3 linked regions of the Coturnix japonica genome follow. The protein of the gene in region 2 purifies or fractionates together with the protein of the main gene of each other region. This does not show direct contact. Links are inferred from orthologs where the notes say so. Each region holds a gene or a part of one and is shown on either strand. Other genes may lie near its edges.

The links.
Region 1: the proteins of CXCR4 (region 2) and ITCH purify together in Homo sapiens (affinity purification with western blotting; 5 studies listed by BioGRID and IntAct, with this or other methods). This does not show direct contact. The link is inferred for Coturnix japonica from reciprocal best matches to the Homo sapiens genes CXCR4 and ITCH.
Region 3: the proteins of CXCR4 (region 2) and TMEM63B purify together in Homo sapiens (co-immunoprecipitation; 3 studies listed by BioGRID and IntAct, with this or other methods). This does not show direct contact. The link is inferred for Coturnix japonica from reciprocal best matches to the Homo sapiens genes CXCR4 and TMEM63B.

The regions. Positions count from the first base shown.
Region 1 is NC_029535.1:1,378,502-1,384,727, forward strand, and holds the start of ITCH (E3 ubiquitin-protein ligase Itchy homolog), read right to left. Parts: upstream 3,825-6,226; 5' UTR 3,709-3,824; intron 1-3,708. UniProt on the Homo sapiens protein: Acts as an Acts as an E3 ubiquitin-protein ligase which accepts ubiquitin from an E2 ubiquitin-conjugating enzyme in the form of a thioester and then directly transfers the ubiquitin to targeted substrates.
Region 2 is NC_029522.1:27,930,101-27,934,317, forward strand, and holds CXCR4 (C-X-C chemokine receptor type 4), read right to left. Parts: upstream 2,801-4,217; 5' UTR 2,726-2,800; coding exon 2,699-2,725; intron 1,729-2,698; coding exon 667-1,728; 3' UTR 136-666; downstream 1-135.
Region 3 is NC_029518.1:27,288,885-27,295,036, forward strand, and holds the start of TMEM63B (CSC1-like protein 2), read right to left. Parts: upstream 3,626-6,152; 5' UTR 3,508-3,625; intron 1-3,507. Other genes in the region: MRPL14 (39S ribosomal protein L14, mitochondrial), read left to right, coding at 6,078-6,102. UniProt on the Homo sapiens protein: Mechanosensitive cation channel with low conductance and high activation threshold. Osmosensitive cation channel preferentially activated by hypotonic stress.

The sequences.
Region 1 (6,226 bases), on a different chromosome or scaffold from region 2:
CACTGCAAATCACTTTCCATTTCATAACATAATGAATAAATGAGATGCGGAGTGTAGCTTATGTCTTTAAGTTGTTTTTCTCTATTCAAGGTCTCTTAGACCTGATCTGGTTTTACTTTCTCTTTGTATAAGTTCAAAGATTACCAGGTATCTTAGCTAACGCTGAGAGAAAAAATACACCCAGCCCCTGACAAAAACCTACATCTATAAATAAAAGTAAGCACAGAGAACAAAGATTTTACAGAGCTCAACCACCTTCTCTTAAGAGTCCCAGGTTCTGTATCGTAACCCACCCAGCCTAATACCTGAGATCAGCACAGCTCCAGAAACGATGCCACTTAGCATTCCCCCTTTTCAACAAGAAACAGTGTTTCACACAGCAATACTTCAATGATCCACCTGAAGCAAATAGGCCTCTTCTGCTCAGTGACACCACTATTTAAATCTAAGCTCCGAACTTCAGAATCACAGATCTAAATGCAAACATGTAAGTACTGCTGCTTTGCACTGAAACAATAGGCACCTTCCAGGAGCAGTTTAGAATAGCTCAGGCAGGTGGGCGGAAGGCAGGCGTTATCAGTTCCTAAATGGGAGGACTGGCATAAAATGTTTTTTAAAAGGGAATAGCACACTAACATAGCGCCGGGTTGTACTGTTGGGTTTGGTTCATTTTAAAGGACAAAAGATTTGAATAACCAGCGTAACAACATCTCAGATCGTGTTTCCTCAGAGGGGGGAAAATCCTTGATGTTTATCAGGAAGTTTGTTCTATGTCCCACTATAGTTAAAGCAGAAATTCCAGGCATAACTTAAAAGGGGGCCCTAAGAAACAGGGCCTTGGTTACTTTAAAATGCTCTTTCCCTGTCTGTCGCATTATTTTCATTTCTATAAAGTGTAATTTGCAATTCTGATGAAGAAAAAGATCAATCCCTCAGCTGCACAACTCTGCCCGATGAAGTAAAAGCTGGAAGCCAATCACTTACACAACACTCAGGTCCTTATTGCTATTTTTCTCATACAAAAGGCATGAAGAGAAACTACCATTCCCTCTCCAGAAGGCAGGCATAGAATTAGCTCTGGTGACAGCCATTCCACAGCACAAAAACACAAACAAGCTGATGGCCTAAAATCATTAAAAATACTTAATTTGGGAGGCAGTAAAAAGTAAAATAAGCCAAACAATCCTCCCAAGCAAGACTGTAATCCCGGCTTGTCTGCTTCCTCTTCTGAGGTGAGCCCTCACTTCAAAGCTCACCTACAGCACAACAAAGAACAGTTACTGAAATCGACCCAGGCAAGTGCTCTGCTCCAAGACATACCTGCACATTCACGCTCCTTAGCTGTGAGGGCTCAAAGGAGTTCCTCCACTTACACACAGAATGACAGAAATTAGAACATTAAATGAACACAACTGGACTGCCAAACAGAAAGGCTTAACAACGAGCAGCATCAGTGACAGCGCACCCAGAAGCTCCAGCATTGCGCTCCCCTCCTGCTTTAACCCCACTGACATCTTTTCCTTTATTTTTTAGGACAAACTGTATTGCTTTTGCTGCAATACAGAAAGCATTTTAACAGGGTTGAGTATGTTTACTACTTTGTTTATATATCTCTCGCATTTACAGATGTTTCTGTAGACTCTGTCACTGACTGATACCGATAATGCCATTAAATTATCTAACTCCTGCAGATGCAAACATTTTTTCAGCCTCACTTAACACTGTTTTCAAGCAGCCCTAATGCAAGTTTTCTTAGAAACAATGAGAAACAAAGCCTCCAAGAGAAGCACCTCGCTGCTCTAATACCTGCCCTCCCACCTGCTGCTCAGCTCTGCAGTTCACTCTCACAAGCTGTTTTGAAACGTCCAACCAAAGAAACCAAACAACTCTGTATTTCAGGAAATGGCTCATCACACACACACATAAAACACCCTTAACTTTACAACAGGAACAAAAATAGAGTGAAGAAAACGAGGCGATGTCTGTTAACTTATAAATTCATACGAATAATCTCTCGATCTCTCTTAAGACCCAAAATAACTGTTTAATCTGTAAGAAGCTTTCAAAGTTAGCACTCAGAAGTCTCAGTTATTTTCCACTGCAACGTCACCTCTTACACATACGGCATCAGTTCTTTGTTTTAATACAAGAAAACTCACTCCAGGTTAGAATGCCGCATATTGCTCTGATGATCACTTGGAGGTGAACGTATCCAGAGCAGTGATTAAAGCTGTCAGTCAAACCACAACTAAGAACGCACAGTAGACCAAGTTCGGATTCAAATGGCTGTAGCAAAGAGTAATATAACTGTAATTAAATTAGAACTGCTTTGGACTTTCACTAGAAGAAGAAAGAATTAAAATTTGTTCTTCAAACAAGATGTCTGAAAGGCAATAAAACCCACTGAGCTAATGACAGATTGCAGCCGATGTTTCATTCTTCTTTATGCATAACTTGTTCGGGTCAATTCAAGCAGTAGCTGGACCAACTGCCAGCCAACTGGCTCTCGATACTAATTGTCTTCTCAGGAATCCCAGTTCACATTTCTCCTCCTTCCTCTGCCAAAAGGATGAGGGTAAAGGGGCAGAGATTAAAACAAAGAGCAATGAGGAACACTGAGAAAAAGAATGTTTCACAAAGAGAACTGTTTGTGATCCTTTCTATCCTACCTGAGCTATAAAGATTAACTTCTCTGGGAACATCTTCCGAAGCTTCAAGGGTAAAGAATGCCACGCAAATGACAACAGATGGCCCAACTGCTACACTCGGTTTTCTCTCCCCACATACATAGATGCTAAGCTTGTTTATCAGTTTAACATCACAGATTACACCTATCGCAACAAGCTGAACTCCTGGATTTCAGAGCCAATCTAATAAAGGCGTTCACACCCTCAGACGGCACCTTCCACTCGTGCTTGGTTGTTATTGCCACACAAGGTCACAGACCCCTGTGAGGAAGCAGGAGAGTTAACAGCCAGAACTCGGCCGTGTTTCCAAAATAAAGCGGCGGCAACAGCAAGAGGGAACACACACCTCCAACCACACTCGTGCTGGGAAACGCTGCTTCATGGCACAGCTGTTATCCCACAGGAACAAAGCAAAGAACTCCACACAGCAGCCTCCCCCGGCCGAGACCCCGAGAGACAGACAGGACGGGGCTGAATACAAAGGGAAGGGGCCGTGTTGCGGAACTGCCGCTGAGAAGCAGCGCCTGGGCCGGGAGCGATCCCGGAGCGCCGAAAGGGCCAAGTGACCGGTCCCGGCTCCCGGGAGCCCGGGCAGGATGGCGGAGGCCGAGCGGGGCGGCGACACGCGCTGCCGGGGAACAGCGGGGCCGGGGGATGTGGGCTCGTGCAGGAGCCGTGCAGCCCCACACACAGGCCAGAGGTCCCGGGACCGCCGCCGCAGGCACGGAGCGATACCGCCGGCTGCGGCCGGGCCCCCGGCTCGGCCCGGCGGGGAGGGGACAGCGCGGCGCGCCGAGGCCGCTCGGTGAAGCTCCGTGGGGCCGGAGCCCCTCAGGCGGCCGGGCCTACAACCGCGGGGTCCCCGCGCCCCCCGCCCAGAGCCGAGGAGATCGGCGGAGCCGCAGCGCTGCCCCTGGAGCTCCCATCCCCGCCGCCACCCCCCGCCTCCTCGTCCTCCTCCTCGTCCTCGTCCTCCTCCTCCCTCCTGCCCTGCCCGTGCTGCAGAGCCCGCTCCCCTCACCGCGCACGGCGCCGTTCAGCTCCTCCGTCCCTCGGCCAAGATGGCAGCCGCTCCGACCCAACCCGAGGCAGCGACTTTCCAAAGTCGGGCGCAATCTGCGCACGCGCGGAGTCGCCGGAGCCGCCACGGGGTGGAGGTGACTACAACTCCCAGCGTGCGCCGCGCCATGCTCCGCGCATGCTCAGTGCGCCCCGCGGTGTCGCCCGGCGGGGTGGGTTGTCGGGTGCGCGGCCGAAGTGATCGGCGGGTCACACACAGCGACGGACACAGGGCAGCTCACACAGCACAACTAAGGCAGCATCTCTGCAGGTGAAGCCCAGGCCAGCACGCAGCTCTGGCTGCTTTCCCCAGCAGGACAGCACCCAGCGCCCTGTTTGCATCACATCTGCTAAGGCAGATGTGGATTAATGACATTCAGTATCACTTTTCAGATACACCATGTAAATTCTCTGTTATCAATATTTTTCCTCCATTTGTAACTTGCACTGGGGCTAAAAATGTTTTTTCAGCATCAACAACCCTAATCTCTTTTTCTATTTTCCAGCTTTTGATGCTTCAAGTCAAGTTCCACCAGTGTTACCTGTAACATCCATAAAGAATGCATTCCGGGTGCACACACCACTGATGATTTTCTGCTTCCAGGACAAGATGAATGTTGTGAAATCATCCCATTCAAACTCTTTCAGAATTTTCCCTGTTACAAATCACAGCCTTTATATGAGCTGCTACACCAACACCGAATAATGACTTAACACCAGACTGAGGTAGCAAATGCAGATGAATTTAATTCAGTGGCAGAAGCGACCCCAGCACCTCCTCCACCAAACTGTGTTCCAAGCACTTGCCCCCAGTGTGTCCTGTTGAATTGGGGCTGCTCCCTTCCAGAGGCAGATCTTGGACCATTTATCTTTGTTGAGTTTCTTGAGATTTTATCCACATTCATTTTGGACTTCACTGTGTCGACAACAAAAAGGCAGTCCTGGTACTGAAGGGACCATGGTGACCATGGAAGCAATTCTGATGGTGTGAACAATTACCTGTTCTGGGCTAGACACAGCCCCAAGCAAATATCATACAGTGACTGTTGAGTAGTCATCAGATGTCATCAATTTCGATTAGCTGCTAAGCTACTTTAAATCTTTAATAACGGCTTAACACTTCTGCCTGCCTTAAGGTTTTGTGCAGCTGCTGATTTAGAGGTGTACGAATATTTCATTTTCACAGCATTTTCTTTATGACTGCATTTCAAAGTACTTTGTAAACATCTATAGAGCAAGTCTTCTTAAAAACAAGTCTCCTGGAATTTGTTTTAACTGGATCATTGCTGCAGAGAATGAGTTATAATTTAAGATCAAACTTATTTTGAAATTATCATCTTTAAGAAGAGATTATTTTTCGTGCTGCCTTATAATCAGTTGTTTTCACTTGTGAACATAGACATAGTGTGGTGGTAGAGCGTGCATACTTCTAACCACCTTTAAAATCAGTATTGATTTCTTTGGTTGGGGATTTAGGAAAATATCAGTAGGAAAATATCAATTAATTCCTGCTAACTGAACAAAACCTTCAAGGTTGGCAAGACATTGTTATTACTTCCAAGTAATCTAATTAAAGGGTAAAACAAAGACACTTAATTATTTTATCATTCAATTGATCTCCAGTGCATAATCAGAGAACCAGGAGGAAGTGATTAGCTGTCTTGGGAAAGGAAATGACACAGTCATCCAAAACAGGATGTTTTAAAGGGAGGATAAGATACTGGGAAGATCGTTACTGTCTTCCCACACAGAAAGCTGAATGTGATTTTTTCCTGGGACTGAAGAACATTAAACAACAAATCTGCTGGGGATTTTTTTTGGGAAATGATAGGGAATGCTGATGCTGGGATGTGTGAAACAGAATCATAGAATGAATCATAGAATAGTTTGGGTTGGAAAGGACCCTTAAGGTCACCTCACTCCAACCCCCTGCTATAGGCAGGGACACCTCCCTCTAGACCAGGTTGCTCACAGCCCCATCCAGCCTGGCCTTGAACACCTTGAGATAGGGGGCACCCACAGCCTCACTGGGCAACCTGTGCCAGTGTCTCACAATCCTCACAGTAAAGAATTTCTTCCTGATATCTGGTCTAAATTTGCTCTCTTCCAGCTGAGAGCCATTTTCCCTTGTCCTATCACTACATGCCCTTATAAGAAGGCCCTCCACACCTTTCCTGTAGGCCCCTTCAGGTACTGGAAGGCCACTGTAAGGTCCCCCTGGAACCTTCTGTTCTCCAGGCTGAAGAGCCCTAGCTCTCTCAGCCTGTCCTCTTAGAGCAGGTACTCCAGCTCTCTGATCATTTCCATGGTCCTTCTCTGGATGTGCTCCCACAGCTCCATGTCCTTCTGGTGTTGGGAGCTTACTGGAATTGGATGCAGTACTCCAGGTGGGGTTTCACAAGAGCAGAGCAGAGGGGCAGAATCACCACAACCTACCGTGTGTTCTTTGATTGGAAGCTTTGCCCTGCTTTTGTCCTCAC
Region 2 (4,217 bases):
ATACTCATTTTCCCCTCATTCATTTAGGAGCTATGCAGCTTTCAAAGAGAATTTACTTTGAATTCTCAATGCACAATAAGCATTGATAAAAAACACTTAACCAGAAATAAAAATACCACTCAAAATAACTTTTTGTCACATATTTTTATTTACCTTGAACAACAACAACAAAAAATGCCCAACCATCAATTACTGATAATGGAAAAAAACCCAACAAAAACAACAAGCCCTAACATGTAACAGAGGCAGCTTTAGTTATAAGTGCCATTTCTACAGCAGTTAAGCAATTGTAAACCAAACATCTAGTAAGGCAAAAATACCCAGCCAATATTTAAGAATTAAACAACATTGAAAACATTTACATATAAACAGAGAAATATTTTCTAATCATTTAACACACTTGCTACAACCCAGGTGTTTAGTTCACATACCTATACAAACACTCGAGCTTTTGTGAACTAACCACTTGTCCACAGGACCTGCCTAGACAGTTTATCAATACAAAAGTTTTATATAAATAAGTCAATTAAACTTCACAAAGACTAAAAGAAGCAATAAAAAATTCCAACGGTAAAATAAATCTGTACATTATGGTCAGTCTTGTTTTTCTGAAATCTTGAGCAACTTTTAAAGTGTCTGTTTATGAAGGGATGGCAAGGGGAAGTGTTAGCTGGAATGGAAACTTGAAGACTCTGACTCTGTAGAAACAGAAGAATGTCCCCCACGTTTGCTTTTTGAAAGAATCTTGAGGCTTGATCCTCTGCTAACAGATGTCAAGGCATTCTGTGCTGATGTTTTGAATTTGGCACCCAGGAAGGCGTAAAGAATTGGATTGAGGCAGCAATGGAAGAACGCAAGGGCTTCTGTGATAGAGATCCATTTGTGCACGATTGTGTCCAAGCTGCAGCGATGTCTGATGACTCCAAGCAAGATGAATGTGTCTATGCTGATGCCAATGTAATATGGCAGCCAGCAGGCAAAGAAGGTAAGGATGAGGATAACTGTTGTCTTCAAGGCTTTGCGCTTCTGGTGGCCTTTTGAATGTGACAGCTTAGATATGATAATACAATAGCAAGTCAGGATTATTAGACCAGGCAAGACAAGTCCTACCAAGATATGCTGGAATCTGAAAGAAATCAGCCAGTTGTCATGAGGGTACATGCGATCACAGAGGTACCGTCCTTCTACTTCACTCGTACTGGCAAAAATGATGTCAGGCACTGTCAGAAGCACAGCTGGCAGCCAGACACCCACATACACGATCTTCTCAGCCAACAGCTTTCGGGGTCGCTGGCTGTTGGTGGCATGGACTATTGCCAGGTAACGATCTAAACTTATGAAAGCCAAAATCAAGACACTGCTATAGAGGTTGACTGTGTAAATGACATGAACTGCCTTACACAGGACGTTGCCGAAGTACCAGCTTATGGCTGCATCCACAGACCAGAACGGCAAGGTGATGACAAAGAGGAGGTCAGCAACTGAGAGGTGAAGCCTGTATTTATCAGTCATGCTTCTTTGCTTCTTCTGGTAGCCCATAACAATGATAACCAATCCATTCCCGATTATTCCTGTTAGGAAGATGATGGAGTAGATAGTTGGCAAGAAGATTCGGTTGAAATCAGCGTTTTCATGCTGAAAGCACGGCTCTCCATAGTCTCCATAGTCAGCTGAGCCAATCTCCTCCGAGCCATTGTCAGCAAATTCAATGAGTATGCCAGAGGACAGCTAAAACAATAAGTAAAAAAAAAAATTAGATGTCGGCTCTTTTACAACAGCTCACTATATACACTAAGAGTCCCAGCAAGTCTTCACCATCACCTACTGACAAACTTCTTGAAACCCAGACAGAAAAATGCTATTTATATACAATTTCTATTTCACTGGCTATACACTGCAAAAACCGGACAAGGAAAAACTTCCTCCGTGTTTCTCTGAGGAGTAGGACCGTGTAACTGAGGTCGGGAGAAAAGAATGATGACGCCTACTTTCAGAAATACCCCCGTCCTTCAGGAGACTTCAGTGCTCTAATGGGATACGTGCTACAGATTCACAAAGCCAGATGTATGACACGCACAGACTTAGAAGAATCACTCTAGGTAATTCTGCATCTCCGAGGCTCCTTTTCATTAAGGGAATGGGGTCATGGAGAAAGAGAGGATGCCCGCGGCTGATGTAATTAAGAATGATATCAAGGATTCCCCCCGAGAAATGACTGACAGCTCGGCGACGGGACAAGAGCCGGGGAGCGGCAGCCCCGAGGGCAGCGGGCATCTCACCGCCGCCCTTTGTTCCCGCCCTGAAGCGGCGGTAGAAAGGGGAAGCGAAATTCTGGTGAGGGCATGAAAGCGCATCAGGAAACCACCAACGGTTCGGGGCACCGCGCTGAAAAGCGATGCAGGCGGGCGTGTGCCACCTGGCTACGCGCAACCCCTCATGTGCTGCGAGTTCATCAGCCTCACGCCCCGCACGCCGCAAAGCCCCGGCCCGACGCACCCGGGGCGCCCCGCAGGCTCCGGGGGCGGCTGCAGACCCCGCCGCTCCGTGGGACGCATCATCTCCCTGGTCTCCCGCTCAGCCCGGACGGAGCGGCGGCGGGACGCGGCTCCGAGCCCCCGGCGCAACTCCGATTGCGAACAGCGCGCACGCGGGCCAGCGTGAATGAAGTGTTAGCGCCCCGCTTCCCCTCTGCACTTACATCCAAGCCGTCCATGCTGCTGTCCATACTCTGAGCCACCGACTAGATCCGGACTGCCCAAGCGCCACGAGCTGCACCGAGCGCACAGCCCGCTCCTACCCGGGACGCGGCTCTTTATAGTCCCCGCCACCCCCGCCCCGGGGCAGCCCCGCCCGGCTCCGCCCCGCCGGGTGGCACCGCGGGACCGGCTCTGGCCGCGCCTCGGGCGCCCTTTGTCTGCGGCGCCGGGCACGGCGGCCCCCGCCTCGAGGCGTCCCGTGGGAGGGACCCGGAGCTGTTACCCAGGGGGAAGCGCTGGCCCGGGGGTCGTGAGAGGCGGGGAGGAGAGGTCCTGCACGCCTTTCGACGTGTTGTACGCGGCGTGGAGCTGTTTCTCGTCCCTGCTGAAGTGCGTAGGGAGAGGCAGGGAGCAAAGGGATGGCTCTTGCTGGGGGGTTCTGCAATCCTTTTGCGGGATGCAGGTTGTTCTGAACTCGTCCAGGTTACGTAGTTTCGCGTCCGGAGTTGCAGATACTTCGGCAGTGTGTGCGGAATGACGCGGTGGGTCGGTGTCCCAAAAGCTCGGTACGGTACAGTCACACATAGAATCACAGAACGGCCCGGGTTGGAAGGGACCCACAAGGAACTGGTAGAAAACAGGAAGAAAATGAACCGTTGTCAAAATAACGGTGTTGCCAACTTCATTTAAACTTATAGATATGCGTGCCTAAGTGCTTTATTTGCCCACTAACATCAGAACGCTGCTCATCTTTCTCATTGATCTCAGAGCTGGGAAATTGCTTTTTAAAAAGTGAAGGCTGCTGGGCATCTTTCATAATGGTCCTTTTTCACAAGCCGGATAGTCGACAAAATAAGAGAAAAACCTTCAATTGTGCATATAGAGTAAAAATAGCTTTCATAAAATAGGTTTGCAAGGAAAATCTAACTAATATAAAGGACAGTAAAAGACAATAATGAATTCCCTTCACAGATACATCTAGGGTCTCAGTACTGTTGTAATTCATGCAAGCAAACTAATTTTCAGAAAAGATTGCACTGGTTTTAGTTGGAGTTTTCTTTCTTCCCACGATTTCACAACTCACATCGTCCTGAGTAAATATATCGGGAATGATTGATTCAGTTATGCAGATTTACACTTTGTAGTTGGGACTTGGAGTGCCGAGAAGGGAGAGGAGCATTCCTAATGTAATGGCATATGCTCAGATCACTCTTGCAGTCTCAAGGGATGAATAAAGGGAAAGTTCATCTAAAGTTTTATTCTTAAAGGCCCCTATTGCCAGTTTACACGCTCTGAGTCAACTACAGGCTTTAGATGTAAGGATTATTTCTGGGTATTTGGCAAGAGTTACTCTCCTACCAGTCCCCTAACAACTCTCTAACTTTTTATGTAGTCTCATGCTTGTGATTGATTAGTAACACTGCTTATCATTCTTTTTGTTAAAAAAAGGTCTGACCCATAATGTCATTGAGGACTTTAACTGCATCATAATTTGATAGTCATTCATATTTTGTTAGAAAC
Region 3 (6,152 bases), on a different chromosome or scaffold from region 2:
CTGATCCTCCCTGCTGCAGCCAGTCTTCACATTGATTTGTGTCCAGCACAAAGTTCCTTCCTCCAGATTCACAACATTGCAACTCACGTCAAGTGAACTGCCTTTCTACACTGAGTAACAATGAACCCCTGGGCAGTTACTGCAGTTTAACAGGCACACAGTAATTTGTTAGCAGGTCTATGCCTCAAGTATAGAGAGGAGCCCAGCCAAACCAAATCACCAGCCTGAACACACAGTCACCCTGGAGAAGATGTCAGCCTCACCAGCAACACCTGAGAGCCTTCAGAGCCCAGTGGTTCACAAAGAGCTGAGGGATGCATCTCTTAAGATCTTCCCTACACCCATGGCACTAGATTTATTACCAAGTCAGAAGCAAATACCCTCCACAGCCCTGCAGTACTACAAGGCTCTGCTTGACCTTCAAGCAGGAGATACCAGATGATGATGACTACCTCAAGCATGAGGTGAGACCTGCAGCCATCTATGTTTCCACAAAGTAACAGACAGTACTAAGATTGTCTCATTCTCTGGCTTTGAAGGGACCAGGAACAGAGCCTACTAACAGCCCCTATTTAATTTATGAAAGCACCAAGTAAAAGCTAGAACTCCACTGGCTGCCACCCAGAGCTGAGGTCTGCAAGGAATTTAGCAGGAGCACCTCCAGAGGAAGGAGCAGAAGCACACATCAGAATAGGACAAGAAAAACAAGGCAGTGAAAGCTCACAGTGCCTTCTCCAGGCATGGATAAAGAGGGACTCTTTGGTGGCTGCTGGGTTTTAGATGCTGAGGAATCACCTGCAGAAGACAGCAAGTATAGTCAGACATGAGCCCTGCCTGCAGCCATTGCCTCCTAGTGCTGATAGGACACCTTAGCTTGGGAGATGTTGAGAGCTCTGACAGGAGGATCCCCACCTTGCCAGCACCAAGCCTCTACAAACCCGGCCCTGAGAGAGCACTAGTATCCTGTGGAGGCAGAGCAGGGAGATGGGCAGGCAAACAGCACTGACATGGGATGCCCTGTCCCTGAAGGTGTTCAGGGCTAGGTTGGACTGGGCCCTTAGCAGTCTGTTCTAGTATTAGATATGGAGACTGGTGACCCTGCCTACAGCAGGGGGGTTGGAGCTTGATGATCCTCAAGGTCCCTTGCAACCCAAGCCTTTCTATGATTCTACGACATGCAGGAGCAGCAGGGAGAATGGAAGCATTTGCAGCACTGTTGAGCTATCGCATTCACTTAGAGAGAGCCTAGCAAAAAGGAGCAAACGCTGCAGAGACGCACAGAGGAAATCATTCACATCTCACCATTTGTAAGGGAGCTTCTGCCTGCTGCAGCTGATCTGTATCTGGAGCAGAGGGCAGACGCCCAGCTCCAGGCCGGGAGAGCAGAGCAAGGAGGCAGTGCCAACCACAGGCCTGCAGCCTGACAGAAAAGCCATTTCACACTGCAAGCCTCTGCTTCACAGGCCTGGCACCAGCAACACGAATCTTGCCCTCTCTCTCTTGCACTGTGTGTACTCACACATAAGAAAATAATTCCTGGATTTTTATTCACTCGTATTTATCAGGAATCCATCCATCACAGAGCACAAGGTACCAGGGCTACCCCAGCCAGCAAGCAAACCTACAGGCCCGGGGCTGCACCAACAGCACCAGGGGTCCCCACTGGAGCTCACAATGTGCCAGCACAAAAAAGAACGATGAAAACTGCTGCTTGCAGTGGCTGCAGCCAACACACTGCCCAGGGATGAACACAGAACCATGCCTGCAGACAAGCACTTGCTTTCTGCCCTCCCAGCTCCAGCAAGGCCCCGGGGGAGCTGGGAGGAGCGGGAGGCACTGCTCTGACACCAGACAAAGGGCCTTCCTCTGAGTCACGCAGCATCCCCACGGACACAGCCCAGCCGCTCCCTTCCCTGCTCCCTTCTCTGCCGCCTCCGCCATCCAGCCAGACCCGGCACCGCGTGGTCGGGTTGGGGCAAGGCACCTCCGTGTCCCTTCCAGGGCTGGGCTGTTGAAGGGCAGCACAACACCCGGTGCCATGGGGAAAGGCTACTCCGGCTTTGGTTGCCATAGGGATGGAGATGCAGCCCAGCACAGGAAGGAAACGTAGACTCACCCGAGGGCAGGTGCCGATGGGAGGAGAGAGGGGCTTTGGGCCCGAAAGGGATGTGTGGCCCCTCTCCTTTGCTCCCACCCCCTGGAAAGCAGCTGTTAATTAAAGAAGGCCTTAACAGACCTGGAAACGATCACGTTCTCCAAATATCCCCATTCTCACACTTCATCTCTGCACTAAAAAAGCCCCGGGGAAGCTGCAGTCCCCAGCGAGCCTCACCATCATCCCTGCCTCCATCACCAGAGCACAGCACCCGCTGATGCTTTGATATGCAAATCCGCCATCGGATCCCTACACCGTGCTGCCTGCAGGCAGCACAGCACCCCACACAGGGGCCTCCTTTGGCCAAGAGCAGAACCAGCCCCTCATAAACCCCATCGCAAGCACGGGCACTAATGGAAGGGATGCACACCGAGATCAAAACCACTATGCCAAAGGTGCAGCAGGCAGCGTGGGCAGCTGGCAGGGCCCCACTTGGTGCCCTTGGCTCACTGAAAGCACAACTAGAAGACAGGAAAGACGGGCTGATGGTGCACAGGCTTCTGCTGCAGGTCTCACACTCACCGAGATGTTCTTCACACCCTTGTTCTTAGAAAGAAACATGTCTTATTTTACTGCATACACATTTATCAGAAGAAAGCACGTTCCCAGCCCATTTTCTTGCTTCATGACTGAGGATACCGTGAAAGCCCAAGGAAGGAGACAACAGCAGCACACAGCCCAGCACCTTCCTTTGGCTGCCTCAACCTCTGACCCCGAGATGCTTCAGGACAGTGACACCGTGCTCTGGTCAAAGGAGAAGAAACCGGAGCATTGCAAGGCTCAGAGCAACGCTCCCGAGAGGAAAACCGACACCCTCCGAACACACAGCAGCCTCAGTTCCTCCCAAGGTTACGGAACGGATGGAAATAGAGCGAACCTGGGGCAACCAAGCACAGCCCTGAGCACAAGCAGGGCCCGTTCCCAGCCCCATCTCCCTCACGCTGCTTCCACGCCCAGCTGAGGGCTGTAGGTGGGCCCATAAGGACCGCAAAAGAGCCCGGCACGAAAAGGGCCCTCCCAGGCGAACACCAGCTAATCGCAGTCAATAGGATCCACGTCCTTAGAGCACGGCTATTATCTCTGACGGGCACAGAGCCCTCCCGCAGTGGGTACACGGGGGGCTATAAGGGGGTGCGGCCGCAGCCCGTGCCCGCGGAGCTTTGTCCCACGTACGGGCGGGGCACACGCAGGGCCGTCCCGAAGGCACCGCAGCCGCCGTGGGCTTCTCCCCGCTCCAAGATGGCAGCCCCCCGCCCCAGCCGGCCTCGCCGCCCTCCTTCCTTCCCTCCCCCCTTCCCCGAGCCGTTCCCGACAGCGTCACCGCCCCCAGCCCGCGATGCCGCACCGCTTACCCGGCGTCAGGCGCGGACGGGCTCCCGAATCGCTGCCGCTTTGTGCCGCCCCGCCGGGCGCTGCGGTTCGGCACGGAACGATCGGCTCGGCTCGGAGCGGGGCGCGGCCTCGGCTGGGCGTAGCTTCGGCACCGCACCGCGCTGGGCGGGGCGTGCGGGCGGCGCGCCGTGCATGCGTAGTGCCGGCTGGAGGAGGGCCGCGGGGTCTGAGGTGTGCGCCGGGAGTGGGGGGGTCGGTGGGCTCCGGGGGACGTGGGGTGCGGTGGGATGGGTGGGGGCAGTGGGTGGTGGGCGTGCGGGAGCAGCTGCTCTGTGCCTGTCGGTGCTGGAGGTCGCTGATCCTTAGGCCTTATGTGCGGGCCTGGCTGCGGCCTGCTGCGGATGCCGCCTTTGCTGACCCTCGTGAGCCTGGGAGGGGGGCAATACAGGGGCTGCATTAGGCTCCTATGGCTATGAGTAGTCACACGGAGCGGTGGGAGCGGGATTCCTGTGCCCTGACAGCTGCACCATGGGCCAGGTAGTGCGGCGTGGCGTGGGGGATAGGGAAGTTGTGTGTGTGTGTGTGTGTGCGGGCTGGGATCTGCTGCTCACCCACCAATACGTTCCTTTGGAGCAGTTCCCTTCAGTTTGAAGGGAGCCACTATCGTTCATCGCAGCTGCCCTAGGTCAGTGCTTCCTGATTTCTTTGATGGCTTTTTTTAATGGTTGAGCCGCTGCACTCCACCTTCTCCTTGCTTGGCTCCTCTTCCCTGCTGCATCACTTCAGTGCTTTCTGGTTGGTGATCACACCTTGTTGGTTGGGACTTGGTCACCCAGGTTAGGGCTGCAAACAGGATGTGGGCTTGTGGCTTGATGTCTGTGGGCCTGTTCTGAGACCTCAGTGCTTTTAGAAGTAGTAGAGATGCAACCAAAAGGAGATAGTAGCAGTGAGTTATAGGACTGCAAGTTGTCCTTTCAATTTATACGTGACTCCAAAAGACCCTAACAAGGCAAGGTTTTGACTTCATCCCCACAGACCACATCAGTGCTGCTGGGACCCTCCTTTGACCTTAGGAAATTCTTTTTGGCTTAATTTCCTGATGGTTGCCCAAGGAGGTTGTGGATGCCCCATCCCTGGAGGCATTCAAGGCCAGGCTGGATGTGGCTCTGGGCAGCCTGGACTGGTTGGTTGGTGACCCTGCACATAGCACAGGGGTTGAAACTACATGATCACCGTGGTCCTTTTCAACCCAGGCCATTCTGTGATACACCAGGAACAATCCATTGTTGCTTTAGTACAGCACTGTGAATATGCACATATGTAATGGATTAGTGTGCTTGGATACTGGAACAGATGTAAGTACCTTATAGCTGGGACTTCTGGATGTTTAAGATAACTAAAGTAAGTTTTCCATTAAAGGTATTGAGCTCTTCTTATCTGCTTTTCCTGATGGCGCGAATGAGGTTAATGTGTTTCACTGGAGAGCTGTTAGCAGATGTACCTGCAGTGAGTTGCTGTTGGTAACTCGGATCAATAAATATCCTGTTTATTAATAGCTAATCCTATTCATAAATGGAATTCATGAAGACTTAATTCCTCTTTGTGAATTTGGCCTTTCTGCCTGTCATTAGTGCAAAACCAATTATGGCTTGGTAATGGGTATCTTGTGTATTTTTAACCCACCCGAGCCCTTAATCACATTGTTTCCTCTACAAGGATGGCCACGAATGGGTCGACCCTACAACTTTCTGCTGCTTCTTGCAGTGCACCCTGGCAGAAGTTAAATAAATAAACCCACAGTACCTGAGTAGGGGTTTAGGTATTTGCATTACACATATTGTCTTGGATTTATTTCTAACAAGACTCCTTTGTTAGTACTGTGTGTCCTGACATGGGTTTAAAGCATGTAATTCTGCCTTCTTTATCTGGAGGATGTCCTTGCTTCATATCAGCCCCCTGGGGTGGTTTACTTGTGTGTCTGCATGTGTTTTATGCAACGTATATGTCGCCCGCTTCTGTTATCTGGGATGGAATGTTCCAGGATTCCTCCATTCAAAAAGCACTCTAACCTGTTGTAAATACAAATCACTTCTTTATTCTTCTGGGGAAGCGGTGAAGGTAGTAGCTTTAATATGGCACTTGAAAATGGCGCGGTGGGTAAATAACTACCAGGGGCGTGAAACTGGTGAAGAGTCCCTTTGTGGTTTGGTTTTTGAACTTGATGTCAGTCTCGTTGCGCTGGATGTGGTAATGCTGAAGGGTCCTTGAGATGAGAAGGGAGTGTTTGCCGTAACAGGTTATTGCGTGTTCAGACTGACTCAGTGAAGTAGAAATTGGGTCACCCCAGTGAGTATTTGATTCGCAGACTTCTCCCACTCTGCAGAATCTGAACTCAAGTCTGAAACCTGTGTGAATTTTTAACTGGTTTGTGGAGCAGGATGAAGCCAAGTGCCTCGAAGATTTCAAGAAGTTGAGTCTTTCCAGCCATGAGATAGAGCCGCTGCTAGAACTGAGGTGCTGTTTAATTCTACTCTTACCTAGTATAGAACAACTTGGAAGTTAATCCTCCTTGAGCAGAGAGTTGGACTAGATGACCTCCAGAAGTCTCCTCCAAGGTAATTCCTTGATCAAGAGCATATTAGTGACTAAATGCAAAGCAGTGGTG